Linked DNA regions of Arabidopsis thaliana. The protein of the gene in region 1 interacts with the protein of each later gene in a pairwise test. Each region holds a gene or a part of one and is shown on either strand. Other genes may lie near its edges. The genes, in order: AT1G49850, HAP8, AT5G19960 and AT1G01440.

Region 1 (6,434 bases):
ACAAAATAAAAACACAAATGACTTCAACCAATTACTGTTACAAATGGACGACCCATACAATAGACCATGCATAATGACTCGGCCGTGCTTGCTTACTTGTTCTCAATGGCGATCGCATTTTTTTGAGCCACAACGGTTGACTCATGACACGATGAATCTAACTTTATAGGCAAACGACGCTGCTTCATCAAGTCAACGATGTGATTTTTCATGACTACTGTTTTCAGCCAAGCTGGCCTCATTTTCATTTTCTCGACCCATGCCGCTACATTGGGACGTGAATAGATCAAGTTTTTCAACTCTTCTTCGTCCGTGTTCAACAAGTAATCAATCGGCGCAAGATGATGCAGATCCGCTAAACTGAAGCTTTCACCAGCCAAGTAAGGAGACTCGCCTAAACGAGTCTCGTAGATGTTCAGAACCTCTGATAACTTTTCTTTGTTCTCTTGAACTGCTGTATCGTCTGTGGCTAAACCTTGATATGGATTGATGATGAGTTCTTTGATGAGTGTTGATGCTATAGGAAGAAATTGATTGCTATCTACTTCCATCCACATCGACATGATTGCTCTCTTTTTGGGATCATCTGGTAATAGATTTGTTCCAACGTCTTTGTATTGCTCGGCTAGGTATCGCGTGATCGCCTTTGGTTCTATATGCATAATCAAAACACTATAAAAATTTCGCAAAAATATGGTAACAAAGAAACTTATGAAAAGGTAATAATTATGTAACCTTTTGCAAAACCTCCACATTCAAATCCAAGACTTCAAATAAAATTCCAGAATAAGAAACAAGATTATAGTACCGAAAAGTTTGAGATCTCCATCTTCAAGAACCGGGACTTCACCAAATGGCTGCAAGAAAAGAAGAGAATGATTGTTCATTCAAACACATATGAAGTTAAATAAATTTGGTAGATGCAAACAGTTAAGAGTTAAGTGTGAGAGATTATACGTTGAGAGTAGAGAGAAAAGTTTTGGTTTTGGCTTCACCAGCAAGCCAATCTACGAAGACAAGCTCAAAGTCAAGACCTTTCTCATTGATACAAAAGAGAGCTGCCGAATTACCCCAGATAAAGCCACAGTGGAGCTTCATCTTAGAATCAGCCATGTTGTTTTCTTTGTCTATTTACTAGATTAGTTATATTATTGGGTGATGAGTCCTATTGTGATCTCCGTATTTATAGTTGTGAAAAAGTATATGTAATAATCAATAACCTTTCGGCCTTCTAAGAGTTTTTTTTTTGGGTGTAAATGTTAAATGCCTTCTAAGAGTTGGTCATCGATCGATAAATGATAGTATAGTTTAGATTAAGTATTAAATACCTGTCAGACTCTCTAGAGTTTTAATAAAGGGTGAAACTAAGTCAATAACAACCAGAAATGAGTTAATTAACAAAGTGGCAATAAAAAAACGAATTAAAAGAGGGAAATTTTATCTAGAACCAACTTTTTATACTGCATCTACTAGTACATAGACTATTAGATTTGACATTTGAGTTAAGTAAACTAACTAATCAATAATTGCTCCATTTATAAAATTTTAGTGTTTCATAATTATAATGATCTCCCGCTTTCTTAGGAAACTCAGACAACCTCCAACGGTGATTCTAGATGAGCTCTAGAGAGGTGAGACCATCCTCAACGCCAGTATGCTATGAAAATTTATAAAAGGATAAAAATAATAATATTTTAATTTTACAGTTATATTTTAAATATTTTATATAGATAGACCAATAATAAAGATGAACGTGTCTTTGGGTTTGTGATATCGTCTCTTAGCTAAGAGTTTTTGGAATTTCTCATTCTCTCTCTTTTTTTAACTTTTAATTATTTTTATTTTTTTAATTGTTAAGAATTCTATTAAACAACTATCGTTAACGGTGGTCTGAAGCCCTTAGAAAAAAGCCAACATTTAAAGAAAAAATGTGATGAAGTGGATGGAACTCACTTTAGCTAAGAACATTTTTTGTTTGGAAAGAGGCCCATACCTATCATGTTTCATAGGTTCGGTAATGTGAGGAAAGAACATTAATTTTTTTTCCCGTGTATTTTTTTTCTCTTTTCTCTCGTAAAATCCGATGATGATTACGAATCGATCATCATCAACCGTCATCTAGATCATTAAGTAGAAGAAAACCAAAGAAGCTCGTCTCTTATCCGCCGTGATCATCATCATCTACACCGACGGTGCTCACATCTGCGAATTCGATGAACTAAATCGGAGAGTTTGTTTAACCAAATCGGAAATTTATGTGAAACTATGCTCCAATCGTTTGATAAAGGGTGAAAGCAACTAAATAACAACTAATAAATGAGTTAATTAACAAAGTGGCAATAAAAAAACAAAATTAAAAGAGGAAAATTTTATCTAGAACCAACTTGTATACTGCAACTAGTACATTAACAATTAGATTTGAGTTAAGCAACTAACTAATCAATAGTTTCTCCATTTATTCATTTTTTTTCGGGAAAAATGTTGTTTAATACACCAACTTTCAAAAAGTGGCCATTTAAACCATGAACTCCATATATGGCCAAATAAAACTTAGTAAAAGCGTTGACCGACCATTTTATACATCTCAAAACGTTGACCAGGCCAAAAATCCTGCGACGTTAGCAGTCGTTAACAGAGTCGATAACAGGCGTTAGCAGGCGTTAATTAATCCGTTTAAACACAAAAATCTTCAAACGAACAAAAATGGAGAGGCTTTTGAAGATTTTTGAATTTGGGAATTTTAGGGCATGAGAATTGGAATTGGGGATTTTAGGGATTGAGAATCGAATTGGGAATTTTGTTGGTTTCGATTAAACACAAAACGACGTCGTTTGTGTTTAAACGGATTAATTAACGTCTGCTAACGCCTATTATCGACTCTATTAACGACTGCTAACGTCGCAGGGTTTTTGGCCGGATCAATGTTTTGGAATATATAAAATGGCCGATCAACGCTTTTACTAAGTTTTATTTGGCCATATATGGAGTTCATAGTTTAAATGGCCACTTTTTGAAAGTTGGTATATTAAACAACATTTTTTCCCTTTTTTTCCGTCAATTTCTCCATTTATTCAGTTTAGTGTTTCATAATGCTCTCCCCGTTTTCTTGGGACCTATGTATTAGTGGACTTTACTTGGATAGGCCCAATAATTGGGCTTTTCCCCTTAGTTTTTTATTACAGCGACACCGTTTTTAAAGATGTTTTGTCTTAGCTCCGACAGCAAGTGGGAGATGACGTCACCTTTTCACTGCAGTTTCCCTTTACTTTTTCCTCGCAATTTTCTCTCTTCTCTCTCTCTGTCCTCCTTATCTCATCGTCTCTGACTCGCTGCACTTAGTTTCAGATCATATAAACGAATTTGGTGATTGATCGGTGCATGACGAGCGCATCGGAACTCTTCTCTACACGAAGATCACGTCCGGGTCGATCCGACCCGGCTTTAGAATCCGACACTTCTTCCTATCGACACCACTCACACCATCATCATCGCCGTCACGGCGTCCATCATCATAATCAGCGTCATGATTCCGACGGCTGTGATCCTCTCCGGCGACCCACTCCCCGTCTCCGACGCTTCTTTCACCATCCGGTTAGTTACTTTCCACCAAATTAGTAATTACTAATTTCAGTAGTTGTCTGAATTTGGTCCTTTTTACTAAAATCTCCCCTAATTTACAGATTCAGGAACGTAGTAGACCTATTCGTGATGTTCAAGGCACTAGTCAGTATTTAAATACGGATAGTACTGATACTGAAACTCAGAGTAGCAGCTTTGTTAACCTAAATGGATCCGAGAGGCTTCCTGGAGCTGTTCTGCTTGCAAGGGATAGACTTTTCGAAAGATTGAGAGGTGTTTCTTTGTCTAGTAACAGGTCTGTGCTTAACCCACTGATAAATTTTACAGCTTTACTTGATCTGCACTCTAGTCTGATTTTAGATTTCTTTAAAAATAATTGCTTTTGTCTGATCAAGATTCTTTGAAGCATGTTTTGATTTTGCTCTTGTTTCTTGTGAGGATTGGTCAAGACTTAGTGTAAAAATCAGTTTTTGTGGATTATTGTTGCTTTGTGTATTCTTTAATATCTTCTTTGAAGCCTCTTTTTCAAAATTTGGTTACGGATTTGTTTCAACTTTGTTTTTCTGATTCAGTCGAAGCAACAGAGTTTCATTGGATGATCAAAGGGAGTCTTCATTTCATTCTATAGATGGAGATCCAATTTTTCAACTAGCAGGGCTTCAAGTGACCTATGAATGCAACAAGAAACCACAAGGTCTTACTCAAGATGCTATTAACTGTTTACACCGGCAAACTTTTAGCTCAGCCGAGGTTAAATCCGAGATGAGAGATTGTAGCATATGTTTAGAGAGTTTCACTAAAGGTGACATGCTAATATCCTTACCCTGTACCCATAGTTTCCATTCTTCTTGCTTAAACCCTTGGCTTAGAGCTTGTGGAGATTGTCCTTGTTGCCGTAGAGCCATAGCAAAGGAATAGAAACTTGTAAATAGAATCTTTGCCTAACCATTAGGCCATAGCCATACACATCTTCTCTTCTTCTTGCTATAGACATCCTTAAAACGATCTTCTGAGTTTTGTCGCCCATGAGTGTTTTTTTTACTGTCACATGTTTGTAATGGTTTTTGTTGTGCCATTAGGCAGTTCAAGCGTTGATATCGTATGGTGTGAATCTTTTTAGTTTTATTCACTGTGATCTCTCTTTTAATGTCTTGTTGGTTATATGAAAGAGACTTTTTCCAAATCCAAATCTTGATCCGACAATTTGGTTATGCTTTGAGGTTATAGCTCAACAACTTAACGTTTTCATTTTCAGAAATTTTGATTGTCTCAATCTGGTGATACTACTTTAAAGCTTTGCTTCCTCTTCCAAAACGTTGTCATTATCATACATCCATGTACGTTACATATATTGAAGTCTAATATCAAAAGATTCAATCAATTTATAACAACTTTAAAAGAAAGTTATGCCAAAAAAAAGAGAACTTTAAAACAAAGTTAAGGCTAAAAGGAGAAGACAGTTGTGCACAAAAAGCTATTTTTTGCTACAAAAGCATATCAAAATGGACCCCTTTCTTCATAAATTCATGATCATCATCTTCAATTCCTTTCATAAAATCCCATTTATTTGCTCCTAACCATCACTTTCTCTATTGGGTACCTAACACACCTCACTCTCTAACCACTAAAATTAACAATACATACATTAAGAATGTCCTGCCTTTCTTTTTCTATCACATCAATTTCATGTCTTCGACAACATTAAAACCTATATGATTCAAATTCAACCAACTTAAAACGGTTTAGTTCAGTTTAAAATCAACGAAAGCTGAAGAAGATAAGAGAGCTTCACTTGCTAACAATTAACTTTCCATAGATTGAAATTTTGACTTGCTAGAAAAATATGAGACAAATTCAACATTTAAGCAGCAATTCTCCTTCTCTTGCTGCAAATAAATCCCATCACCTTACTCAATAATATTGAAGGCGACAAAGAAAATAAGAGAAATGAAACTTAAATAAACCAATCGTGTAATCAAACTCCTAATATTTGAGCTGTTAAACAAAGGGGTTAGTTAGTCTCATTTCAAGGCTCGAGTCTTGTTATTAGGATTACTATGCACAGATTGCATCTTCCCTACCATACTCAGACATCAATATGCCAAACAGGATCATTGTCGAAGCTTCCTTTCTCCAAGGCTGCAACTTTAGCTCTATGAGCTGTTGTTGAAGCCAACGCTAGTGAGCTCTTCCCTTTCTCCTCTTGACCCGAGTACTCGCAGGCTTCAGTTAACGAACCAGACCGAAGATCAGCGGGTGGGATAAAGCAATCTAGAGACAGACCAGGAACATTGAAAGCGACTTCTTCAATGGTCCATCTTTCCTCCATCTTTGTCCTAGTGTGGCTCATAGCAACTTCCCCAAATCTGAAGAGGGTAACAACAGAGCGTCCAGAGTGAGCAATCATGATCCCTTCCACCTGTTTGTAGTCGTCTAGAGACGAATTGATCGTGGTCTCCCAGTAAACAGCATCACCATCGTTAGATTGGATTCGAGTCAACTGCGAATCCTCAATTTGAGCTAGAAGTCCTGTTCTTTGGCTGAAGTAACCGAAAAGGATGTGTCTTACAATCTCTGCTGGTCCTTCACTCCTCGCCCTTAGCGTTTCAGGATCAGTACATAGCTTCAAAATGAAACAATCTTCACCATTCACCTTCCTCTCTCCAACACATTTCGATTCAGCAAACATAGTAGCAGTAGTTCTCGGATCAAGTCCCTGAAACATCATTTAACATAACAGAATCAGCATTGGATTGATTTCAAAACCATGTAAGTTTTAGTGTTTGGGGATTAACCTGAAGTGCACGACGAAGAGGCCTGACGGGTCCTTTAGCAGTGTGAGAACCAAGCCAAGG
Region 2 (9,383 bases), on another chromosome or scaffold:
GATGGAGAGTGGCTATATGCTGATAGTGATGGTATCTTGATCTCCAAGACCGAACTCTCTGTTTGAGTCAGAACGTTTCCGTGATAGTGCTAAGAGACTACAGCTTCTTGGAGCAAGGTGGTTTATTCGAATTCTTAAGAATCTGTTTAATACTCCAAATAATCATTTTTATTACAATATACTTACGTTTTATGAAATTACAAAATAAAAGTCTATTTAGTTCAACAAGTTTGGATCATGTGATATGTATAAGAAACTTTCATTGAATTGAAAGAGATCAATAAGTCAAAACATGTGTATCAGTGAATACATTATACAACAAGGATATAATTTCTAAAGATGTTATTTTCGTCTTCCAGCATTGTAATGATTCTTGTACGAATGGATTTTAGTTATTTTGAAATTTAATTGATAGACATGTATAAATTATAATTGTATACACAAGAGCGTACTATTTTACTTGAATTTGAATACAAAATTCTGCTATGAGGTTTGAAACTTGAAAGAATACATATCGTGGTGGACCAATTACTACTTTTATGGAATTGAAACAAATGAATGAATACTATTTCAAAATTTGACCAAAAAAATAAAAACACCATTTCAAACTAAAACAAAATTCATACCGAACCAAACAAAACAAGATCAGATTTACTTGTCACGTTAATTTCGGTTCACTCATTTTTCTCGACCAACACACTTCGAAATCGTACGGAAAAATCGGTGCTCCCCGTTAATAAAAAAAAATAAACGGTGTTTCCCAAGAATAATAAAAAGAATAAAAACATATATATTATTCAATGCTAGAGAAACTATATTATTAATATGTTCCGTCACATTAATAAATAAAAGCATCATAAAAAGTTAGACAGACCACACCATCACCATGTTCATGCCATTGATAATTTGACGTATATGTGGACATTTCATGTTTTCTCTTTAACACTCCTTTGTTTTTATACATAGGATCTACAATAAGTCTATTATTTCTAGCATATTTTGTATCTATCGAATCTTCTCAATCAAAAGTTAAATTATATGTTGAAATATGTCTTTGATCACATATTGATGTTGTAAAATAATTTGGATGATATGACACTCTAGACTAAAATAAGTAAATTCTAGACCATACAAATCTATAATTGATTCCAATTAGACACGAATATATTATACCACGACCACTTGTTTCTCAATCTAATTTGATGGAACTTATTAATCAAAAGCTAAAAACGGCTGCTCTTTAGATTTATCATTGCGATTAAGAAGCTATAATTTGTTTTTCTTGTTTTGGTGTCTTGCTTGAATCCATTACTTATCAATTTGTCATTCATTACTTCACCAAAAAAAAAAAAAAAGAATAGTGTCGTGTAGCGAAGGAATTATGGGACCTCCAATAAGTCCATAGGGCATGGAATATGACTTAACGAGGAAAATGATGTTTGACTAAAACCATAATTTCACGTTTCCACAAAATGGCACTATCCTCTCTTATTTAATTCTATGATTTTTCTTAATTTCTCTTAATAAGGTGATGATTTAACGATAATTCTGGCTGTTGATACATTCGTTTTAAAAAGATCAAAATATGAGATATCTCATGGTTTATACTTTATAGAACTTGTAATTTTGAGAAAAAGTGGTTATGAGTGCCTACATAATTCTATATGCACTAACATATACATGACCAACTTTTTCAAACAATTGGATCCTTTTTTTCGTAAACATTTGGCTTGCTCTCAAAAACAGTCAAGACATCATGTTCTTATTTATTTTCACCTTTAAAAAGGACAATAAAAACCATTGATTCTGAATCAAAATCACTTTCTTTCATTTCCATGATTCCAAATTCTTCGACCATTTATTCTATGACTTTAAACGTTGGAAATTTTTCCGGCCGATGCCTTCATATCTCATCTCAAAGATATCATGGTCATTGGTTTGTTCCACGCATGTTATATGCTCCACCTTAATATTCTCCGAGAAGATCTTATATCGCCTAAGGTCATAGATTCATCTATCTATTATTCCATAGCCATATCACAGAAGAAACAATCTTAATTAAGGTCATATAATAGAACCGAACGATCATTTGTTCACAAACCGTCTCGATCGTTCTTATGGAAACTTCCCATAATTTGATAAACTTTTCAAAAGACTTTATCCCAAAACTAAAGTGAGTCAACCCTCATTTAAGTCAAGATTTCATTTGCTTTTCATTAATGGTCGAATCATCCATAGGAAAAAAAAAAGCATTTCTAGCCCCTCCACAATTCATATCTTTGGGTTTCGAAGAATACAAAAATTTATACTAATTAACAAGAACATACATAAATTCTTAATTATTTTTTATAACTAAAGTTTCTTACCTTACCATAAATTAAAAATTCGAAACATGATTACATTTTGTATAAACAATGATAGAAAGTAGAAACCACTTCTTAAAAAACACGATACAAAAAGTTAGCAGCAGCCTCTACTTGTCTCGTTCAGTTCAAAGCCCAAAATTTAAATAAAGTTAGCAGCATTAAAAAAATGGTTTGAAAAATGAAAACAACTATTTAGGAATTCACACAGCTCACTTACAGACATACGAAAGGAACAGCGACGAGGAAAAAAAAAAAAAAATTCATTTAAACATTTCTTTACTTTAAGTTTATTTTATAAGTAAACAGTATGTTTATTTAATACTTAGGGAACCTGATACCACTTTGATGTGTTAGTGCGTGGTTCTTGTTCATCTCTCTCTCCCTCTAACAAAAATCTTTTCTTCTGCCAAGAAAAACTATTTCTGAAAATAATCAAATCCTCTAAAGGTTTCTGTCTATTTACTGATATAATTTTTATCTGAAACTTTTATTTTAGCAACTCTCTTCTTCTTCTCTCTTCGTCGTCTTCCTACTTCTTTGTTTTTTCTTTCTTTGTATTGTCTCACCGATTTACAGTTTCTTGTTCTTACTTTACTTTGAATCTTTATTAAGTTTCAAAGATCCAAACTTATACTCTTCAAAAATAGGTATGCTTATTATAAGTATATATCTTTAATCCTCTGTAAGTTTTTGATATTTTATGATCCATTTCTTCTGTTCATAACATTATAAAAAAGGGTTTTGTTTCTTGGATTCCTAATATTGTCTTCTCAGATTTGTTGTTAAATCTCATGTTCCAGTTGGTTCATCCATAAGTAGAGATTATAGTTTTTCTTAAGGGTTAGATTATCTTCTTTCAATGTGTTCATTTTTTTTTTAGAAAAAAAAATAAATCTCAATGAACTTTGGTTTAAATCTCACCAAATGTATGTTCTTTTACCTTCTGTGTCTTGATCTATTAGTTTCTTATTGTGATGTCTTTGAGTTTCATATGATTCCTTGCATAAAATAACACTCCAATCAGATTAGAAACTGATGCTTGTTTTTAGGGGAAAAACTTTGAAGAATTAAAAACCAACTCTTTTGATTGTTCCTATTTGTGATTTGCTTCACCAATCAAACCCATATACTTGAAAATCTCACCCACTAATCCTAATTTTATTCTCTGTTTTTTTTCTAACCTTCACATGAAATAATATTTTTTTACTTGATCTTCTCAAGTTTCTGGGTTTTAAAGACTTAAACTTTAAACTCTTTTTCAGGTTTCATAGGCTCTCAGATTTGGTATTATAAAGATCTGGTGTTATGCAGAAGAGCAGGGACGACAAGGTTGATAAAAGTGAAGAAGTGAATAGTAGTAACAGTGGAAGAAGAATCAAATGTTCTTATCATCCACTGATCAAAGAAGCCCTTCTAATAACAATCCATCATCTTCTTCTAGTTTCTTACATCTGACCAACTCTTGTGATGAGTTAGGTCAATCACATCTTTCAACTTTCTCCATCAGGTAATCTTAAAGTTTCTTCTTCTCCGATTTTGTTGGGGGTTTTATGGAGAAGAAGTCAACAGTTTCTTGTTCTTCACCATTGTTTTAGGAGGCTTAAAGTCTTTAGCTTTCTTGTTAGGTTTGATTACTGATACATCTTTTCTTCTCATCCATTCATTTTTGCTAAATGGGTCAGATTCAAAACAAAATGCTTTTTATTTTTATTTTTCTTTCACCTTCTGTGATTATGTGGAGCTTAATGGTATTGAGTTTTGACTATTCTTTGATCCGTTGGTCCATGATCTGAACGAGTCTCAGTATCATCAAAGAACAAACTTTTCTTTGTTGTGTCATGTCTCTCAGAAGTTTTTTTTTTTATAAAAGCCTGTACCTATGTTTTGTCTGGTTGTTGTACTACTAATGGTTGATGATTTGGTTTTTGTGATGTTTTTTGCAGAGATTATGCATTTAGTTACCGGACCAAGAACATCAAGAAAAGTTGGCCTTTTTCCTCAACAAGTTTGCAACTTTGTTTAAATCATGGCTTAACTGATCCATTGCCACCGATTCAGCCTCCTGAAGTGAAGAAGCCAAACATAACTCATGTGGAAGCGGTAAGTCACAAGAGAAAGTCAGAGAAACTTGGCTCTTATCAGATATTAGTAGAGACTACTAAACAAGGATTTGAGAATGGTTTGTTGGCGAGTGGTTCGAAATCCAAAATACAAGTAGCTATGGTTAACAAGAATCCTAGAAAAAAGTGTGGGTTGATAGTGAAACCTGGAGCTTGTGTGGATAGTGGTGGAAAAGAAGATCATAGTAGCCTCTTTTCAGCTTCTGATTCTATGGCTTTGAGAACTTGTCCCATCTGCAAAACCTTCTCGTCTGCTTCTAACACTACTTTAAATGCGCACATTGATCAGTGTCTGTCTGTTGACTCGGGGCAGCAGCCGATTCGTAAGCCAAACAGGCCTAAGACTAAGCCACGGTTGAAAGTTAAAACCATGACTGATATCTATGCTTCTGCGAAAGAAGGCACATTAGAAGATCTTGATAAAAGAAATGGCACAAAGTGGGCTATGATTTCGAGCTACTCTAACCGTGTTGTCTCTGATGATAAGCCTGAAGTGTCCAACAAAGTAAAGAAGCGAAGCGTGTCGCGTGCTCGCATTGATGAAGATGCTGCTGGCATTGGACCTGTTTACATTGATGCTAAGGGCCAAAAACTGCGGATTTTATCTAAGTTTAACGAGAAAGCTTCTGATCCATCAAGAAGAGAGCATGAAGAAGTTTGTGAGAAGAAATCTTCTAGTGAAGGTAAAGGGGGCAAAAGCTTTAGGAAAAAACTTTGGGGAGAGAAACATTACAAGCATCGTAAACTAGTTCCTCAAAACAGAAAACTCACTGTTCGTAAAAGCAATGCTTCAGAGGTAATTATGCCTTTGCATGATCCGTTCTTGATTTGGTTGTTAGATTAGTAACACAAGTTTCTTTATCATTTTTGTAACAGATACCGGAGTATCGAAGAGGATATTCTAAAGAAGGTAAAGACTTTGAGAGGTCAGAAACTTCAGGTCCTGGTCAAGGTAGAATATTCAACCAGCGGATGCTAACAAAGCGTTCTCTTTCAAGGCATGGAAAGAAGAATGGGACAGACATTTGTGAATCTGAGAATTGGAATTCATTGTCAGAAGATCCTCTTGTGTTAAGAAGTCCAAGTCATGTGAGTACTGATTTGTCCGAGACAGTTTCTTCTCCTTTAAACAGTATAGGGTCATGGAGAGTTTGTGGGGAGAGCCAAGTTTCTGGAAAGAGCTGGGCTTTGTCTAGGAACAGAAGCATTGAAAGTGATTTATTTGTAGCAAATCCCTTGAGATGTTTAACACCTGTGGCGAGAGGCGTCATGAAGTTCAAGAAAGCTCGAATGGATTTCTCTGAGAATGAAGATGAAGATATAGGGAAATGGGAGTCTGAAATGACTCAAGAACGTGAACTGTCAGATTATGATGGTTGGGATGATGATGATGGAGAAACAGATAAGGTTGCGCTAAGCTCAAATCCTTCGTTTAGCGGGGAAGACAATGATTATGAAAGCTATGAAGAGACTGGTGATAACAAAGGAGGTGATGATATGTTGGACAAAACTAAAGATGCAGATGTTGAGTTTGAAAGCATGGTTTATGAGAAAACTGGTTGCGAAACCGCGGAACAAGAAAGCTCGTTCATGGAGGTTGATCCCATTCCTATTCCAGGACCTCCGGGATCATTTTTACCAAGTCCTTGGGATATGATGGGAACTGATGCAGTTGAACATCATGGAAACTCTTCAGTTATCACAAGCCAAGTCCACTCTTCACAAGATCAGTTTGATCTCACTGACAGAAATTCATCGGAATCACCTGTTTCAGCAATTTCAAACTTTGCAGCTCCTGAAACACAGACATTAAGTCTTCATAACATCATCACCACTGACAAGAGACCTTCCAGATTCAGAGACAATGATCAATCATGTTGTTGCCAAAGAAAGGAGAAAGCTCTTGAAGATACAACATTTTGTCAACCACCACCACCACAAATGATCCAACAAGATTTGGATTTCCTGAGTAAGTCTGTGCCTGCGGTTCCTTCAACTCCCAACCCGGTGTTGCGGCTGATGGGAAAGGATTTGATGGTTATTAACCAAAGAGAAGAGCCTTCACACAACGAATCAAGTCCAAAACCAACCTCTCAGTTTCTAGATCTTTCTAAGACACAGCAAGCGTCTCCTTCTGTTAATCTTCTTCATCCTCCTTACAGCGGAAATGGTTATTTCGACACCAATACAAGCTTCTACAACATCCCATGAAAGTTCAGACCAAGAACTCTACTTCTCTCCAAGATACTAAATAATATTCCATGGCATTTCAGATCAAAGTCCAGGCATTTTCCTTAAGCTTGAGATCTTGAGAAGCTAGACACCTCAAGATCTCATGTTTCTCTATAATAAAGAGGTTGAGAATCTCAAAAAGGCTGCTTTAGAAAGACAATGGTGAGACTGAGATAAATTCTCTCCTCATAGGATGATATATATGAGAACTCCACTAAGGTAAAAGGACCCCCACTTTTGTTTTAAGTTTTAAGGATGAAAACTTATAATTATAATGTTATGAAAGCGAATTTAAAATAAATTATATAAGAGTTAACATCATGATGCTTAATTCTCTCTATTTAGATATAAATATTTGTATGGTTGAAATCATATGATGTAGTCAAGATCATAGTCACCGTCATGACATACATTATTATGTATACGCAATTCATTATCTTTTTTTTCCTCACTCATTCCTTATTTTAGATTGCAAACATATAGACTTTATTATACACATTGATATTGAGCGTAAACAATGTCAAAATTAGATGGACAAGGATTTTATACAAAACAACAAAAAAAGAAATAGTTGCATTTGGTGTAGATGAGCTGTTTTATTATTGTTACAAGAAAATTTAAATAAAAATAGGGAGAATATTTTAGTGAAAATAATGAAATATATTTGCGTAGAGATGAGTACAAGCACAACGGCTATGTTGCATGCGCATTTTCAAAATCATTTGCTTATTATCATATGCTTCTCTCACTCCATGTCTTCTTTTGTTTTACATGTTAGTTGATACACATTTCTGTATAATATATAGACACACTTACGATTATATACATAGATATGTATGTATATTATTATTTGTCGCCGGTCCATAAAAAGTTTTATAAGCAAATATTTGCAAACTATACTATTAATGATTCATGCATTGGTAATTCAATTAGTTAGAAGAATGTTACTCCGATGATGTTATAGATCCAAATTCAAATGCTGTTTATAGAGAGATTATTCGAAAAAGCTTTATGGATAATACGTAGCTTGGTTCGTAAGTCGTAGCTTATAGTTTTGTTGCAAGATTTGAAATTTTGAGCACTACTCTCTTGGTGTAGAATAAATGGTCACGTATCCATCCACAACAATTTCAGTTTATACTATTAGTTTTTGAGAGAGAGACTCCTGCATCAAAAAGGCAATATTGGTCCTAAAATTCAACAATTTTTATTTTTGAAATTGCCACTAACTCCAAAATAATTACAACTTGTGAGAACATTTGACCGTTTGGAAAAAGTTATTATCATGAAAGAAAGAATTTTGAGAATTTTTATATGATAAAACGACTAGTTGAAAAGTTGAAAGACACTAATATTTAAAAGCTTTTTTTTTTAATTTTGGGTCAACATTGAAAAGTGATATTGACGAAAAAAACTTTGATATTTAGTTTGATGGCCAATTTTTTCCTTATCACATAATTGCATATCTGAACTTGACAATTCTCATTTTAACAAAATATATCAAATTTTTGTATATTAATATAAATTAGGCGCCGACAAAATAATAATGAATATTAGGTTGTCATCTAACTTCTTCTAATTGAGAGAAAATTTTAGTCGACGTAAGCAATAAATATATTAGTTTGAAAAAAAAGAATAATGAAACGTATTTTAAACAATATAACAAGAAATTCATAAGATGTGGTCTTCTAATTAAATAATAATTAAGAAGAACTAACAATATAATTTAACATTAAACCAAAAAAAAGGAACTAACAATATACCTACCTCATTGCAACTGTGTCAAGGGCCGACTCATGAATCATGATACATGATTTAGTTGTTAAACTTTTATCCTTTTCGTAATAATGCCACACAAGTCATATTAATGTATCACTAGGTTCATCCAAAATTTATAAAATTTAGTTGAAATATAAACTCTTTTTTTTATGTATGCTATGTTAAGATGTGGATTCATTGTACAACTTGTATCCTTTCCGTAAACAGTAATGTAGTTTAACTACCTATATATATATATATATATAGTTGAAAAAATAATACTAAGTGATAAGAAACCACATTATACAAACAAATCAATTAATACTGGCATACGACTCTCAACATACACTTTGAACTATACTATATCAAAAAAAGAATATAGAGTTATTGGAATGCGTTGGCCAAAAAAACAGAAGAAAAAAGAGAAAATCGGAATGCATGTTATTATTTTTTAGAATTTATGTTGATAGTATTATTTAAAGCGGGGCCCACTTAGAGGGTTATTTTATTTTGGCGTGAACATCGTAACATTAAACAAGAAACTAAATGTTGGTTTTGGTCCTCCATTACGCAATATAAAAATTAAATCGTTGGTCTAATCATATTTAAGAGCACAAGAGATGTTATGACTTAAATATATTAACTTGGTGCACATTTTCTTGCCATTAAGTTATCATCTAAGAAATAAAATTAGTTAAATCTCCTAACATTGTCACTAAACTTAAATCTAATTTTTAATTTGTTGATAAGTTGTCCAAGAGAAGTAGTAATTTGTTTTCATGTACGAGTTCCACATAATCATATGTAACTTGACTAACTTCCATAGTCCAAACTCCAAACTAATCAATCAGATTCGAATTCAAGTGCCACTGATCAATATCCAAATAAACTCTTCTTAATTCAGGTT
Region 3 (7,572 bases), on another chromosome or scaffold:
GAATCCAATCACCGATTGAGCTATGGGCCCCAGTATCGATTTCTACTATGACGTGGCACCACTTAAATCACAATATCCGTATTCCCTCTCTCTCTCCCTTTCTATCTGAGCTTCTCTCTCTTACTCTCTCCAGAGCAACAATGGCTGCGACTGCTTCTTCTCTTACAATCGCGTCGTCATTCTCCGAACCACGGACTCAGATCCATTCCTCGAGACGTTTGAATCTCCCTCTTCAATATTCAATCCCGTACAAGGTGTTACGGAGTAGGAGTAGAAGATTAGGACTCGTCGTCAGTTCTGTTTCAGCTCCCAACGTTGAGCTCCGTACTGGACCTGATGATCTCATTTCTACCCTCCTCTCTAAGGTTGTGTAACGATTTCTGATTTGTATACACCGATCTTGAGGATCTGACTTAGTTTGGCGCATTTATTTGAAAGTTTGTGAATTGTGAATAGGTTGCGAATAGTGATGGAGGTGTGACGCTAAGCCCTGAGCAGCACAAGGAGGTGGCACAAGTGGCCGGAGAGCTTCAAAAGTACTGTGTCAAGGAGCCTGTCAAAAATCCTCTCATTTTTGGAGGTAAAAGTGTAAGAACCTAGCTGCCATTGCTTCTTCCTTGGATCAATATGTGAACTTGTGGGATTTGGTGCAGATTGGGAAGTGGTGTACTGTTCTAGACCAACCTCTCCTGGTGGAGGCTACAGAAGCGTGATAGGCCGTCTCTTCTTCAAAACGAAAGAGATGATACAAGCCATCGATGCTCCTGATATCGTTAGGAACAAAGTTTCCATTAATGCTTTTGGTTTTCTAGACGGAGACGTCTCCTTGACAGGTGACTATTGCAAAATTCACATATGCATTCAGTCTCATCTTCTCCCGTGTTTAATCTTCTCACCTTTGTGTGATCTTATCTGTAGGGAAGCTGAAAGCGTTGGACAGTGAGTGGGTGCAGGTGATATTTGAGCCTCCGGAAATCAAGGTTGGATCTTTGGAGTTCAAATACGGGTTCGAAAGCGAAGTGAAGCTTCGGATCACATACGTTGATGAGAAACTTAGGTTGGGATTGGGATCTAAAGGATCATTGTTCGTCTTTAGAAGGCGTCAATAATATATACGTTTCTCCCTCGTGCATCAACCAATGCAAATCACTACAGAAAAAAAGGAAACAACATATGGGGTCCTGCGAGAGTATGATGGTCAATATCCACAATGCTGTGTACACAAATGGTGTTTTAGATATAACTTTGTTGTAATGTAAACTTCATTTTAAGAGTGTCTCACTTCAGATGAGTTGTTGAGGAAGCTACTGGTGAACTTCAACATCTTTTCGCAAAGAATTACTATAGCAACAAAGAAAGATAAATGACTTAGCAGCCTTTATGTTCAAATTCAAAACCTCTCACGAAAATCTGAAATTCTGAATCACCCTAAAACAAACATGTACAGATTCAGCGCTGCCACACCTGTGAGAACCAAAGCATACATGAGTAATAATGCTCTAAAATATGTAATAAGATACATGTTTACTCTAAAACATACATAAAGATATACAGATGTAAATGATGAAGTTTTGTTTAATTACCACAAGCCTGGATGATTTCATTACAATCTACACACGTCCTCTTCCCCGTCTATGTCCTCGCCCTCTACCCCTTCCTCTTCCTCCTCCTCTTCCCCTTCCATGGCCGAAGTTATCTTCTGTTCTTCCGTAATCAAACATATTCATTCTGATATCCGCTGCCCCGGCTCCAGGCATCTCCTGCCCCTATACAGAAAATTACAATAACAAAGCTCTTATTGTAACCATTTCTGTATGGATGATCCCAAAACACAAGTAATAAGCCATTGAAAGACAGATAAAAAGTGTGCTAATCAAAATAATGAGCATATGGAAGACGGGTCATAGGGATAATAAAGGTTGTTGTGACTCACATAAGAGTCTTCCAGATCAAACTGATTCTGAAGCTGCCATGCAAGATCTTCATCGCGGGTAGTGTCGCTTGGATGGTTAGCTGTTGGAAGAGCCCCCCCACCAGTATTCCTCTTTTCCCACTCATCTAGTGTAAATACTGCAGAGTCTTCTTCTTCTCTCCCCCTCCCTCTACCTCTACCTCTACCCCTACCTCTTCTTCCTTGGTATTGCCTATCATTTGAACTAGAATGTTTCATCTTCTCAAGAAGTATCTGCGCAGCCGCTTGGTTCTGTAAAGGAACAGCTTCCACCACTGCAACATGGGAGATGTTATTTGGCGTATAGGGATGAACGATAGATATCTGATATCTCATCTAAGGTTTCAACGCAATTGCCAGATGAAAATGCCAAACTAATTTAACGCTCCTTAATGTTCTTTGCTGTACAATGAGCTTTTGAGACGATGAGGGAAAAAGATGATGGCAAACCTTGTTTAGGTCGTGTATCGGAACTGCTTCGCTTTTCCTGATTTTCAACTTCGACAGATATTTTCGGATCAGAATCTGCAGGATTCCTCTGTATATTCTTATTTGTGCCTCTTTTGTTCCCATCAACTTCACTACTTTCACCTTTTTCTCCACCGGCATGTTTTACAGAGCTTTCTGCAGCAATAGGTACATTGTTTCTAGAAGTCGTCTTGTTGTAATCTGTCAACCAACAAACATATGCTGACAAGTTAAATTTTTGATGCATTGGCCAAACTTCCATCACAATACTTTATGTAAGCCCACACAAAGGAAGAACAATTCAATAGATCATAAATTTTACCACAATGAAAATGCATTCACTCAAGTTTAAGTATTGAAACAATGGAGACCCAACAGCGCCAATGTTGGACACAAAGCCAAGGGAAAACATAGATCAGACCTCTACATGAGTCGTCATAGGTTACATAAACGGATATATTGGGATTTTGGAGCTCGGGTCAAATTACTAATATGTTTATGCTAAAGTGCATTTGGATGGAATAAGTCCTTGCTGCAGTCAATGCATATTTATGTACACTATCAACATGAAATAGAAAATGGTAGATATTTTATTTGGTAGCAAAGATTGGCCAACCGTTTCAAAGTGAACTAAATATGCAACAAATTACTAGAAGAAAACTGAATGAAAATGATGAGAATAAGAAAATCCTGCTTACCGCGGTGATGGGAACCTGTTCGAATCTTCAACTCCTCAAATGGAGGAGGGCCATCACCAGCTTTGCTTTCCTGAGATCGAGCCAAACTAGCGTATTTTTTCTTCATCTGCCATTCTTCAGTGAGTGATTGCACATAACCGCCCAAGACAGTCACCTCTTTTGGAGTCAAACATACTAGACCATCACGTATCACAGCCTTATTTTCTAGACGTACCTGCCAACGAGACAGTACAAAATATCAACAATACAAAATGATTTATGATTTGCATATGACACCCTCTGATGCATGACAAACACATATGTGCACTAGCTTTCTATTGATTTAGATCTTAATCCAAACTATTATATTTGCATGAGACTTTCAGAAACATAGTAAAGGAGAATTTGAATTAGATTGATATGGAAATGGAACTACCTTAGTACCAGGAGTGACATCATTGTTAATCGTTGGTATATGAGAGTACTCAAGCGCGGATATTTCGGTCTTCCCGTCAGTCAGAGCGAATTTTAGCACTCGTTTACCAGTGGAACTTCCCACAAATTCCTCTGCGCTACTTCTTGTAACATCCCTAACATAACTTATCTATGCTCACAAAAGAAAACAAATTAACACTCAACAGCTTGAATCAACTGCAACAATTGAGCATTCTGAAACTAGTTTAAATCTAAGTATATCAGTGAGAGTGACTCATTGAATTAGCGAAGACCTAATGCCAATTGTTACTGACTTTAGCTGATTGAAGCAATGTACCTGGAGAACTTTGGGGCCTTGAAGATGAGAACACCTGCGTAACTCGGTCGGGTCCGGGAGGGATTTACCTCCGATTAACTTAATATCCATGTTAAGCAGCTCCGCCTCCACTGACTCCACGATGGCGCCTGTTTTATTGCCGCCGCCGATCAAGGAAGAGATTTCAGTGACCAGGGATTTCAAGTATTCGACGTCTCTGAAGCACCAGCCCCGACTAGTTAGGGCATTTATCACGACGGTGTGGGTGTGGTCGCCGGCGGAGGAGCTTGATGTTCCCACCATTGCGTTGATGCTCTTGTCGCGCTAAACCAATTGGGGAAGACGAGATTTTAATTTGGAGAATTGATTTTGTTATGGTCAATATCGAGTTAAACTAATTACTATTCACTAATGATACTTTTTGCATAAAATCGTTTTGATCAATAAAGAAGAACATTTTTAACAGAAAAACTAGAAAAGTAATTCGAAAAAGTCCTATAAAAAAGGTATTTTCCGGTTTCGTTTTAGTGGGCCTAATGGCCCATATGTAACACGAAGATTTCTGACAGTACGACTTCTAAAGTACTTTGCTTTCCTTGTTGAATTCCGACCAAAGTCGATAAAGAGTTATGACGATGGACGATGGTAACTCCGTCTACGTCGGCGGCCTCCCTTACGACATCACCGAGGAGGCTGTCCGTCGCGTCTTCTCCATTTACGGCTCCGTCCTCACCGTTAAGGTTAATTTTCTCTTTTCAATATCCTGATTTAAGTTTCTTAATTAGGATGATTCAAATTCGTTTCGTGATTTTGAAGTTCCAATCTTATTGTATGATCTTATAGATGATAAGCTTTAGTAGATATCTATGTAGAAAGACTGACCAAGTGATTTAGATAACATCCAATTGCTAGTTGATATATCTTACATGTGAGCTGGTCAGAGTGTATATTGACATATATGTGTACTATTTGAGAATTCAGATTGTCAATGACCGGAGTGTAAGAGGGAAATGCTATGGCTTTGTTACATTTTCGAACCGTCGATCGGCTGATGATGCTATCGAAGATATGGATGGAAAAGTATGGTTCTACTGCTAAAGTTTTGTTCTTTTGTTTATATTATCATGTACGTGGTGTGTTTATATTGTTGACGGTATTGAGCTCGTAATCAGAGTATTGGTGGGCGTGCAGTGCGTGTGAATGATGTGACAACAAGAGGTGGAAGAATGAATCCAGGTCCGGGGCGGTTACAACCACACGGTGGTTGGGATAGAAGTCCTGATAGGAGAAGTGATGGTAATTATGAGAGGGATCGGTATAGTGATAGGTCTCGAGAACGGGATAGGTCTCAGGATAGGAGAAAAGATCATCGCTACATAGAGAAGGAAAGAGCTTATGAGCATTCACATGATTTTGAGAGGAGGAATGATCATGATATGGTAGATAGAAATGGTTATAAGGAAAGAGTTTTCGATGGTGATGAAGGAGATTGGCGTGGGGATAGGTCTTATGTGGATAATGGTAGGGGAATAAATGGGACCAGTGCTCACGAAGGAAGGAGCCAAGAAACAAAGAGAGAAGATAGGTAAACTTTTGTTGAAAACAATGCAGTTGTAGACTTCACATTGGATTTCAAACTTTTAGTGTTCCTCCTGTTTCTTTGAATTGTGACATTCGTTGTTCTTGTAAAATTGGTCTGCTAGTTTGAATGAGTCAAAGACTGGGATGCTAGTCTTAGTCACGCCGCTAAACCAAATCATCCACACCTGTTGTGGTTAAGTTTGATAAATTATCATCGATTTTAGTGTAATGGATTTGAGGAAGTTTCTTGCTCTTGTTGGCTTTGTGCATGTTACCGTTTGAGGAATGTTTTGGCTTGCTTTGGTTTTGTTAACATGTCTAAATCTTTGTGTGTTCTTGTTGGATTGACAGTACCATTCTTGATGGTGGACGTGGCAGAGATCACTTCTCTAATTCAAGTGGAGATCATCAGGTAAAGATGATTTTCTTAGCCATGCAGTGTTTGCATAAATTCATTTTATAACTTGCAACTTCTATTACAGGTGAAAGAAGATCTGGAAGCGCTGATTAAGATGCGTGAGGCGCTTCGAGATGAGGTATGAGGTAGTTTATCTGTGCATATAGGCTGTTGGTAGATTTATTTTACATAATCACGAGTGATCCAATGAATTTATGGGCTACTTTCATTTTTAAGGTGATGGTGATGGAAGAGAGACTGGAAGTAAAAGAAGTAGTGTGCTCAGAGCTACAGAAGAAATCTAAGGTATGTGTCTTCTATATCTTACAACCCCAAAATGTTTGACTACAGATTTGTTCTCATTTGAAATGGTTAAGACAGAGATTAGAAGATTTGTTGATCAATGAAAAGAAACTGGTTTCACAACGCCGAAAAGAATTGGCAAAGGTAAGCATAGGTTCGATTCCTGTTCTAAAAGTCGGTTTTGTTAGGTAATGTTTGTTGACATTTGGTCTATGTTTGTGGTAGCTACATAAATCATATTCAAGGGTTAGAGAGTGCACGGACAACCTGAAAGACTGTGAACAAGAACTCCAGGTTAGTTTCTAAATTTTCTTATTCTAGTGATTGTCATTGCATAAAGATTAGGCCTAATCGAAACAAGTGTCTATTCTTTTCTCGCAGTTGCTTGTTAATTCAGCAGCTAGAGAAGGCGTGGCAGGTGCTGATGAAGGATTGGGACACGGGTATCCGTAACACGGTCACCCGCATGTATGATCTGTTTTGTCTAAAGTGTAGCTTTGATATGTCTTCTCTTTGTGACTTTCCGAGTTTTTTTCTAGTCGAGCTACACTAATTTGGTACATATTTACTTGTTTTGGCAAGTATGTATTCATTTCATTCGGGATGTATTATTATCATACGAACATGAACTAAATAATTATGTTTTCAACTTGCAACTGAAACCAAACAATCACCATACAAAGTGTGGAAGTAAAGTCTCAAAGCTTTGTTAGAGAAGAAGTCCTAGATAGTACTTGGCTATAGTTAAAATATTTTAGTAGATGAAGTTGACAAATTAACTATTTCTTTTTGTAATGTTTGCTTTGTTCTTTACTAATATAAAGATACTTGGCTACAGTGAAAATGTTATAAAAAGAGAGAAAAGAATAGACAGTTAAATTATTAAGGTTGACACAACCATCATCTCCACCGTCCATTACTCGTCAGCCGAATGTTTTTTATTTGATTAAGATGTGAACATCATCCATTGACCTATCGTTGCTTGTAAAGCCAAGTTAGCCAACCAACACTCAAATCATCATTATACGTGACGATCTTAAGAACAACCCCATTTAGGATACTCTATATGTTTGTCTTCTCATATAAATTTCATTATAGTAATATTAAGGCATTATCCATTATTCATATATATTCTTCAAGGCATGTTTCGTACATCTTATAGCAAACCAGTAGCAGTAAATAGCATAAGCAAATGTGTTCTTCTTGTCGCATGGCTCTAGTGGAATTCCACGTTTCTCCTTCTTCTCTTGGTAAGCCGTATTGTCAAATCGACGTGGATATATATATGAATATTTTAGTTGTTTTGACAAAGATGATTATTGAAAGAGTAATTAGGTCACTTCAGTAAGGGAAAATGTTAAAGTTTTAGGAGTCATAAAGTTTATGTGCTACAATAAGGTAATTATACTTCGTATAAATAGTAGAAGAAAAAAACTGGTATATC
Region 4 (8,131 bases), about 18 Mb from region 1:
AGGAGCTTCAGGAGAAAAAGCAGTCCGGTTCGAGCAAACATGAACGGAAGATGGCTGATTTCCTTTTGAAGCATTTGGGAGATGGAAATGAGAGCCCCAAGCTATTTCCTTCTTCTCTTCTGGATAACACAAAAGATTACCAAGTGAAAAAAAGATTAGGGAATGGAAGTCAGTACAAGGAGATTACCTGGTTAGGCGAGAGCTTTGCGCTTAGGCATTTCTTTGGGGATATTGATGCTTTGCTTCCTCAGATTACTCCATTGCTATCTCTTTCACACCCAAACATTGTATATTACCTCTGCGGATTCACGGATGAGGAGAAGAAAGAGTGTTTCTTGGTCATGGAACTGATGAGGAAAACCCTTGGAATGCACATCAAAGAGGTATGTGGTCCTAGGAAGAAGAACACTCTCTCCCTCCCGGTCGCGGTTGATCTGATGCTTCAGATAGCTTTGGGTATGGAATATCTTCACTCGAAGAGAATATACCACGGAGAGTTGAATCCATCAAACATTCTTGTCAAACCAAGAAGTAACCAATCCGGAGATGGGTATCTGCTTGGGAAGATTTTTGGGTTCGGGTTGAATTCTGTCAAGGGATTCTCTAGTAAAAGTGCTTCTTTGACGAGTCAGAATGAGAATTTTCCATTCATATGGTATTCTCCAGAAGTTCTAGAGGAGCAAGAACAGAGTGGAACTGCAGGAAGCCTTAAGTATAGTGATAAATCTGACGTGTATAGCTTTGGGATGGTTAGCTTTGAGCTTCTGACAGGTAAAGTACCATTTGAAGATAGCCACCTGCAAGGAGATAAGATGAGTAGAAACATTAGGGCCGGGGAGAGACCGCTTTTTCCATTTAATTCACCAAAGTTCATAACAAACCTGACAAAACGATGCTGGCATGCTGATCCCAATCAGCGTCCAACTTTCTCATCGATAAGCAGAATTCTCCGGTATATCAAACGGTTTCTAGCTTTGAACCCGGAATGTTACAGTAGTAGCCAACAAGACCCGTCCATTGCGCCTACTGTGGATTACTGCGAGATCGAGACAAAGCTATTGCAGAAGCTTTCTTGGGAATCTACAGAGCTAACCAAAGTTTCACAGGTTCCTTTTCAAATGTTTGCATATAGGGTTGTGGAACGGGCAAAAACGTGTGAAAAGGATAATCTCCGGGAACCATCGGAATCAGGAAGTGAATGGGCTTCGTGTAGCGAGGATGAGGGTGGGGCAGGATCAGATGAGCAGTTGTCATATGCCAAGGAAAGAAGATTGTCATGCTCCTCAAATGATGTTGGTATGAGCAAGAAGCAGGTTTCAAATCTTCTGAAAAGAGCTTCTAGCCTGAAACCAATTCAAAAACCAGGTGAGATTATCATCAGCCAATATATATATATATATATAGGCTCCCTAACAAATATGAACTTGGTTACTTGTACTAATTTTTTTGTTTTGTGTCACTAGCCTTTGGATTCTGTTCAGGGACAACTCCGAGAGGACGATCAAGGCATCCGCCACTAAGCCCTTGTGGTGGGCAAAGCATGAGAGCAAACTCTGAGAGTCAGCTGATATTGATAAGCCCAAGGATACGACGATCAAACTCTGGACATGCCTCTGACTCTGAGCTTTCCTAGTCTGCAGGGAAAAAGAATAGGTTCATAATAGCAAGTTCAAAATGCTGTACAAGTCAAAAGACATACTAACTCGTATGTGGTGACACACACTCCACTACATATCTATCGAAAACGATAAAATTCTTCTTTATTCAAAGTTTCCTACAGATACTACTAGGCTCGTATATTGTTCAGGCTAGTGACTGATTGATTCAGTAGCTACTAGCTACAATATTATCTTAAAGGAAACAAATCATATGAGGCAAAATTATGTGCCTAGACTGTAGAGGCTCAACGCTGAAGTGAAGTAAACTAGGCCTGCTCCACTATTTCTACAATCTATCAAACACCATCAAATTACACTAATCAAATTTTGGGCTTCGAATGTGGATAAAAACATCAAAAATAAGGAACCTTGACTAATCTGCCTGAAAATTACCTTAACAAAAAAGGGGAACAGCGATTCCGCCGGGGACTAGAGACATGGCGTGGTTCGGAGCTTTGGCTCTGTCTCTCGTCAATTTCAATATCTCCGCCACCGCCGACTCCGTCACATCCATCCTCCGACGCTTTTATTATGTCATTGATTGTGATATGACCAAAAAGTCCCCACTCTAGTTTTAGATGAATGAAGCTATGATTTCTTTTTTTTTTTTGGTGATAAGTACGTTATTATGATTTTAATACCAACAGATTTGTCAAATATAACATTATAAGCAAGTGGAGTAAACAAACTAAGCAGCTGATTTGTACAAAAAATACTTTACAGCTATAACATTTGTCATTGTCACCCTAATATAAAATACAATTCCAACAACTAAAATACATCTCTAAACTTTTTAAAGATGATGATGATGAAAAGAATTCAAGTTATGAGCACGTCTGGGAACATGGCACACCATCTATTTTGACAAGATAATATTATACAATACATGTATAAAATACGTACACATTCATCGTTATAAACTAAACCCACCATGGCCATGATGAATAGTGTGTGTAGTTCAAGGTATTGTTGGTTTTGGAGCAGCGAGACACAAATATATCAAAGACCTAATTTGGTACTTTAACTTTCACCTTTCAAATGCAGTTAAATTCGAATCGATCCAACCAATTCATTAGTTACTACTATTTTTATTTTGTTGCATTATTTTTGGTCGTCACGTTATCTCTTGGTCAACTTGACCTGGTAAGACTCATAGTTTCTAGATATGTCAAAATTCTTAAACTCCATTGTCGATCTAATTGTTCCTAGTTGGTAGATTCCCGGGAAAACGAAGCAAGAAAAGTAGAGCTATTGTTCGAAGTCTTTTGATTATTTAAATAAATTCCTCTGAAATTTTCACAAAACTCCTTTAATATTAAAAAATGGCTGCGTCAAAGAGACTAAAAGCTTGATTCTCACCGGAGACGAAGAAATTGCCCAAAAAATATTCATAATACTGACGCCGGAATCACTCTTCTTCGAGGTGCGTTTGATTTTCCTATATCTCTCTGTCTTGTCTTTCCCGTTTTGGATGCTGTGCAATCATGGAAACTCTTGAACTAGTCTCTAGGAAAATTTTAAGATTTGCTCTACCATGTTACTATTCGCGGATTGGAGAAGATTCGATTAGAGAATTTGTTGATAATTTCGGATTTTGTTTGAATTCAAGGATTATTATTTCTGTTGCAGTTTAAACAAGCAAAACCCTAGAAGCTGGTCTTCGTCGGAGAATTTTTGTTTTTTTTTTCCGATGAGGACAAGCGGTGACGTTTATGGAGCAGATACTGGTTCCTCAAGAAGTGATGAAGACAGAGGCTTTAAGGAGGATCTCAATGAATCCGCTACTAGCCCGATGAGAAATCGCCTAGACGATTCGAATTCACGACCTGGTTCTCAGAGATTCGTCAAGAGCTCGAGAAAGGAGGAAGAGACTGATTCAGATTCTTCTTCTTCTAAGAACACAACCACCAGAAACAACCCAATTCAGTACACTGATAAACAACAAGCCGAGCTTTTGAGAAAGCTTGATTCTATTAAAGATCATCTTCTCCGTGGTGGAGGTAATAATGCTACTGTTGTTGATCAGCCACCAATGGGTTTCCATGCCCATCATGGACCTCCTCCTTCTTATTACAATCCATACCCTGAGCCATTTCCTTATGGAATGTATCCTACCGCGAGTAACCAACCTCATGTTCCAGCTTATAGAGACCCTTATGGATTCCCAGTGCATAGGATACCTCAAAACTTTTATCAAGGACCAAGTCATTACCCTAATCAGATGCCGCCTCGTCCACCCTATCCTCAAGGACAGTATGTAGACATTGGCTCTGATATACTTGAGTCACAGTTACAGGACCCTAGATTCTTTCCGGGTACGCCAAGTAGGTATGGTGATGTCCCATTTAGCCCGGCTTTGCACCACGGTGAGAAAGTTGGACCCTTTAGTCCACATGGTGGTGTTCACACGAGGTGGCCTAGTGAAATTGATTCTGAAATGGGTGGTGCTTTTGCTCGTGGGTATGTTCAACAAGCTGTGTCTGATACTGATTCACGTCGTTGCCATCCTCTAGCAGGCGGTGCGCCTTTTATTGCTTGTCACAGTTGCTTTGAGCTGCTATATGTGCCTAAGAAGAAGCTTCTTGGTCAGGAAAGGCAACAAAAGATGCAATGTGGTGCTTGTTCTGAGGTTATCACGTTCAGAGTTGTTGATAAGAAGCTTGTTTTCTCATCTTCTGCCCTGGGGGAAACTACGAACCGGGTTTCTGTAGAGGTTGAAGATAGAAGCTCACCAATCCCTGTGGTAGATGATTATCCACTCAATGATGAAGAACCAAGAATACACCAGGAAACGAAAATTGTCCATGCTGTATCGCCTAGTGATCACTCAAACGATGAAGACAGGTCAAGCATTTCTAGTGAGCCGCGGAAACAGGTCGTCAAGTCTGTTCGCAGCAGAGCCCAAGGCGCGAAGGTTCCTCCTCCTCCTCCTCCGGAAAAGTCCAATCTTCTTGAGCTCTTTGAGTATTCTAATGTAAACCGAGCTGCAATCACTTACGGAATGGCGCAGTTAGGGTACTATAAGCAAGAATCATACACGAAACAAGACTCCCTGAAATCAGAATCAGTAGCTACTGAGACAGATGTTTCTTATAATGAGTACTATACTAACACCGAGGAGTCTGAAGATTCAAGGATCTCAAAAGCCAGCAAAGAAGGGAGACGACCAAGAAACCGAAAGCAGAGTAGTGAGCACAGTTTCGCAGAGGTCACAAATAATATCAGTTCTAACGACCAAAACAACGAGCAGCTAGAGGTTTGGGTGAATGGGTATCTGATACCAGAAGATCTGGTTATTAGCGCTGAGAAACAAGCTGGGCCAGTTCAAGCTGGCAAATACTGGTATGTTTGGGGTTACGTTTTGATAAATCTACGTCAAAAGAATTGATCAGTCGTTCAAGAAACCATCTTTATGTTATGATTCTGACCAGGTATGATTACCGTGCTGGATTCTGGGGAGTGATGGGAAACCCTTGTCTCGGTATAATACCAGTAAGAACTTTCACATCTCTTCTATATTGCTTTGAATTCCAGTACACTGTTTCATAATTCTTTGTATTGATTGGTACTTGATGAGGAAATGGGAAACAATTGTTGGTTGATGCAGCCATTTATAGAGGAGTTTAGTCGACCAATGCCGGATAACTGCGGTGCAGGAAACACGAGTGTGTTTGTAAACGGAAGAGAGCTTCACGAGAGAGACCTAGAGTTACTATCAAGTAGAGGTCTTCCTCGAGGCAAGAACCGTTCTTACATCATTGATATAGCAGGAAGAGTTCTTGATGGAGACTCTGGTGAAGAACTTAAGAGTCTTGGCAGATTAGCTCCAACGTAAGCACAACACAATTCCATGTAATCAAATTTTTACATCAATCATTTAGTTGATTCTGAAATTTTATGGTTGAAAATTGAATCAGGGTTGACAAGGTGAAGCATGGATTTGGCATGAGGGTTCCAAGATCATTAGTCTCGTGAAGCTTCGTCAGCTTTGTTTTGACCTCTCTGATTTGTAAATTATTCTTTGTGATTGATATATAACACATCTTTGCTTATATTCTGACCCAAAACTTATTTGCTATTCTGTTTTTGGGTTTAGTTTCTTTTTTGGGGGTTCTCTTACAATGTTCCATTCTTTCTCTTACTTTTTTTTTTTTTGTCTAAGAGATAAACCGTATGGTTTTATATCTTGTGATCTGGTTTATGTAAATTGATCATTTTTTATTGTGGATAACCTGTTGCCTGTTGGGAAATAAAATAATATTTGTTTGATTTTGTGACAAAAGATAAATGTATATATTTATAGATCTGTCCAGGCTGTGTGTACTTGTTAAATCGTTTTCAAGAAAGAAAACACACTGGTATGGTAGATCCAAAATCAACTTCAAGTAAGATGGGTCCACGTAGCAAATATTTAAAGCCCATGGAATAATTTATTCACAATGGGCCTCGTGGTCGTGGTGTACCCTACTCCATATAAAAAAACAGAGTCGATAATCTAGTCTGTCTAAAACGACTAATTCATGTCTAAAGATTAGTTTATGTTTTAAATCACCGAGAACTAATTCTACCGTCTAGATAGAACGATTTTTTTTTTTTCTCTAGATAGAACGTTTAAAACAAAATTAGCATGAAAATTACCACGGTTATCAGAAGACAAAATATATTTTTTCGTCTAATTAGATGTGTAAAGCATAAACTAGATACTAATTTATATACTCACAAGTAGTTTTAGTTACAAGTTTCAACCATTAAATCTAAGTGCGAGGTCTCTGTCTTTAGTTGAAAAAAGAGAGAGAGAACAAGTCTCTATCTTTGCTCCTGATAAGTGATAATTAATCAATAAATACTGTAGGACCATCCTTATCGAGTTTCGTTTGATAGACACTACAAATACAAACTAATCACCTAATTTCCATAAATGTAGAGATTACTGTAATCCTGTCTACGTTGGAAATAATTAATGGTACCATGTCACCCGTAATAGCAATGGCTTAATCATGTTTAAAGAGACAACAAGTACACGATTCGCGCTTTACAGTTGTATAATTGTAACTTTAAAAACAATTATGGATGCCTAATCATTAGATTATTTTCTTCTTCTGAATATCTCTCCACAAATTAAATGAAGCCACGACCGACATAAACAAAGTGGAAACAATTACAGTAATTCAAACACATGCAAACAAAAAAACTCGAGTTAATTATTACTAACATGTTTTAGTACTTCTGAGAAAAAAAGAAAAAAACAGGATCCGCTGTGTCTTTTTTATAATGATGAAGTTCCTCGCTTTCAACGCCAACCAAAAACCTCCAGAAAGCTAATTAGGGAAACATTTGAAAAAACTCAGTGATCTGCTCTTCTCTCTAATTGCAATGGATTCATTGAGATTAATATCTAAGAGCATCAAGATTGAAGGAACCCCATTTGGTTCCTCTCACCAACGCAATCAAATTTTCCTCAAATCCGTCGCTTTCTTCCTTTTGATCGGTCTCGCTTACCGTTTTCTCATCACTAATTCCACCGTCTCTCCGGTTCCCACCGTTCGATCCTCGCCGGAATCTCTCCCGCCGGATCCTTCAGGTCTCACTGCCATCACTCAAACTTCAGCCTCTGTCGATTCCCCAGCAAACATCACAACCATTGCTTCACAGAATGGTAAGAGATCATCTTTTTCCGATCATCACTACTTTAGTCTCAAATTCAATAGAGTAAGACCCAAGCAACGTGAGGAAATTGGGTTTTGAGAAGAAATTCTTATTTTGGATTTGTGCTCACCAAGTGTTTGAACAATTGTAGTTTCAACCAAGTGTGATATCTTTATCGGGAATTGGGTACCAGACCCATCAGGGCCAATCTACACCAATGTCTCTTGCCGTCATATCCAAGATTACCAAAATTGCTTGAAAAACGGAAGGCCAGATGTGAATTACCTTCGATGGAGATGGCAACCTCGCGATTGCGATCTCCCGAGGTTTAACCCTGAGCAATTCCTTGACAATATGAGGAACAAATGGTTGGCTTTTATCGGTGATTCCATCTCTCGTAACCATGTCCAATCCCTCCTCTGCATTCTCTCTCAGGTACAACAACAGTTTCTCTAATTTCATTTCTCTGTATAGCAGCAGCCTTAAATCTACTTGCCCTTGTTTTAGGTAGAAGAAGTAGAAGATATCTTCCATGACAAGGAATACAAATCAAGGATCTGGAGATTCCCTTCTTACAACTTCACACTCTCTGTCATTTGGTCTCCTTTCCTTGTAAAAGCTGAAACCTTTGAGAACGGAGTTCCTTTCTCAGACATTCGAGTACACCTCGACAAGCTAGACCAGAAATGGACTGATCAGTACATCAATTTCGACTACGTTGTCATCTCCGGTGGAAAATGGTTCCTCAAAACAACAATCTTCCATGAAAACAACACCGTAACCGGATGCCATTACTGCCAAGGGAAGAACAATATGACCGAACTCGG

The links.
Region 2: the proteins of AT1G49850 (region 1) and HAP8 interact in a two-hybrid assay, tested with the Arabidopsis thaliana proteins (one large-scale study listed by BioGRID).
Region 3: the proteins of AT1G49850 (region 1) and AT5G19960 interact in a two-hybrid assay, tested with the Arabidopsis thaliana proteins (one large-scale study listed by BioGRID).
Region 4: the proteins of AT1G49850 (region 1) and AT1G01440 interact in a two-hybrid assay, tested with the Arabidopsis thaliana proteins (one large-scale study listed by BioGRID).

Annotation. Positions count from the first base shown.
Region 1 is NC_003070.9:18,453,389-18,459,822, reverse strand, and holds AT1G49850 (RING/U-box superfamily protein), read left to right. Parts: upstream 1-3,203; 5' UTR 3,204-3,378; coding exon 3,379-3,591; intron 3,592-3,680; coding exon 3,681-3,874; intron 3,875-4,151; coding exon 4,152-4,497; 3' UTR 4,498-4,979; downstream 4,980-6,434. Other genes in the region: GSTF14 (glutathione S-transferase (class phi) 14), read right to left, coding at 93-652, 809-857, 958-1,113; AT1G49840 (glutamyl-tRNA (Gln) amidotransferase subunit A (DUF620)), read right to left, coding at 5,666-6,295, 6,375-6,434. UniProt on the Arabidopsis thaliana protein: Probable E3 ubiquitin-protein ligase that may possess E3 ubiquitin ligase activity in vitro.
Region 2 is NC_003076.8:22,766,232-22,775,614, reverse strand, and holds HAP8 (hapless 8), read left to right. Parts: upstream 1-2,593; 5' UTR 2,594-2,813; exon of another isoform or gene 2,814-3,013; intron 3,014-3,628; 5' UTR 3,629-3,745; coding exon 3,746-3,873; intron 3,874-4,309; coding exon 4,310-5,282; intron 5,283-5,362; coding exon 5,363-6,697; 3' UTR 6,698-7,162; downstream 7,163-9,383. Other genes in the region: AT5G56260 (Ribonuclease E inhibitor RraA/Dimethylmenaquinone methyltransferase), read left to right, coding at 1-66.
Region 3 is NC_003076.8:6,739,553-6,747,124, forward strand, and holds AT5G19960 (RNA-binding (RRM/RBD/RNP motifs) family protein), read left to right. Parts: upstream 1-4,325; 5' UTR 4,326-4,476; coding exon 4,477-4,587; intron 4,588-4,828; coding exon 4,829-4,927; intron 4,928-4,964; exon of another isoform or gene 4,965-5,019; coding exon 5,020-5,432; intron 5,433-5,779; coding exon 5,780-5,840; intron 5,841-5,910; coding exon 5,911-5,964; intron 5,965-6,062; coding exon 6,063-6,131; intron 6,132-6,206; coding exon 6,207-6,272; intron 6,273-6,353; coding exon 6,354-6,422; intron 6,423-6,509; coding exon 6,510-6,581; 3' UTR 6,582-6,829; downstream 6,830-7,572. Other genes in the region: AT5G19940 (Plastid-lipid associated protein PAP / fibrillin family protein), read left to right, coding at 141-365, 457-580, 654-833, 919-1,109; AT5G19950 (tudor domain protein (DUF1767)), read right to left, coding at 1,611-1,766, 1,934-2,226, 2,402-2,620, 3,118-3,331, 3,533-3,700, 3,869-4,150.
Region 4 is NC_003070.9:157,437-165,567, reverse strand, and holds AT1G01440 (hypothetical protein (DUF3133)), read left to right. Parts: upstream 1-2,614; 5' UTR 2,615-3,081; intron 3,082-3,287; 5' UTR 3,288-3,348; coding exon 3,349-5,000; intron 5,001-5,089; coding exon 5,090-5,150; intron 5,151-5,265; coding exon 5,266-5,489; intron 5,490-5,575; coding exon 5,576-5,633; 3' UTR 5,634-5,940; downstream 5,941-8,131. Other genes in the region: AT1G01450 (Protein kinase superfamily protein), read left to right, coding at 51-1,463; TBL25 (TRICHOME BIREFRINGENCE-LIKE 25), read left to right, coding at 7,032-7,314, 7,456-7,739, 7,812-8,131.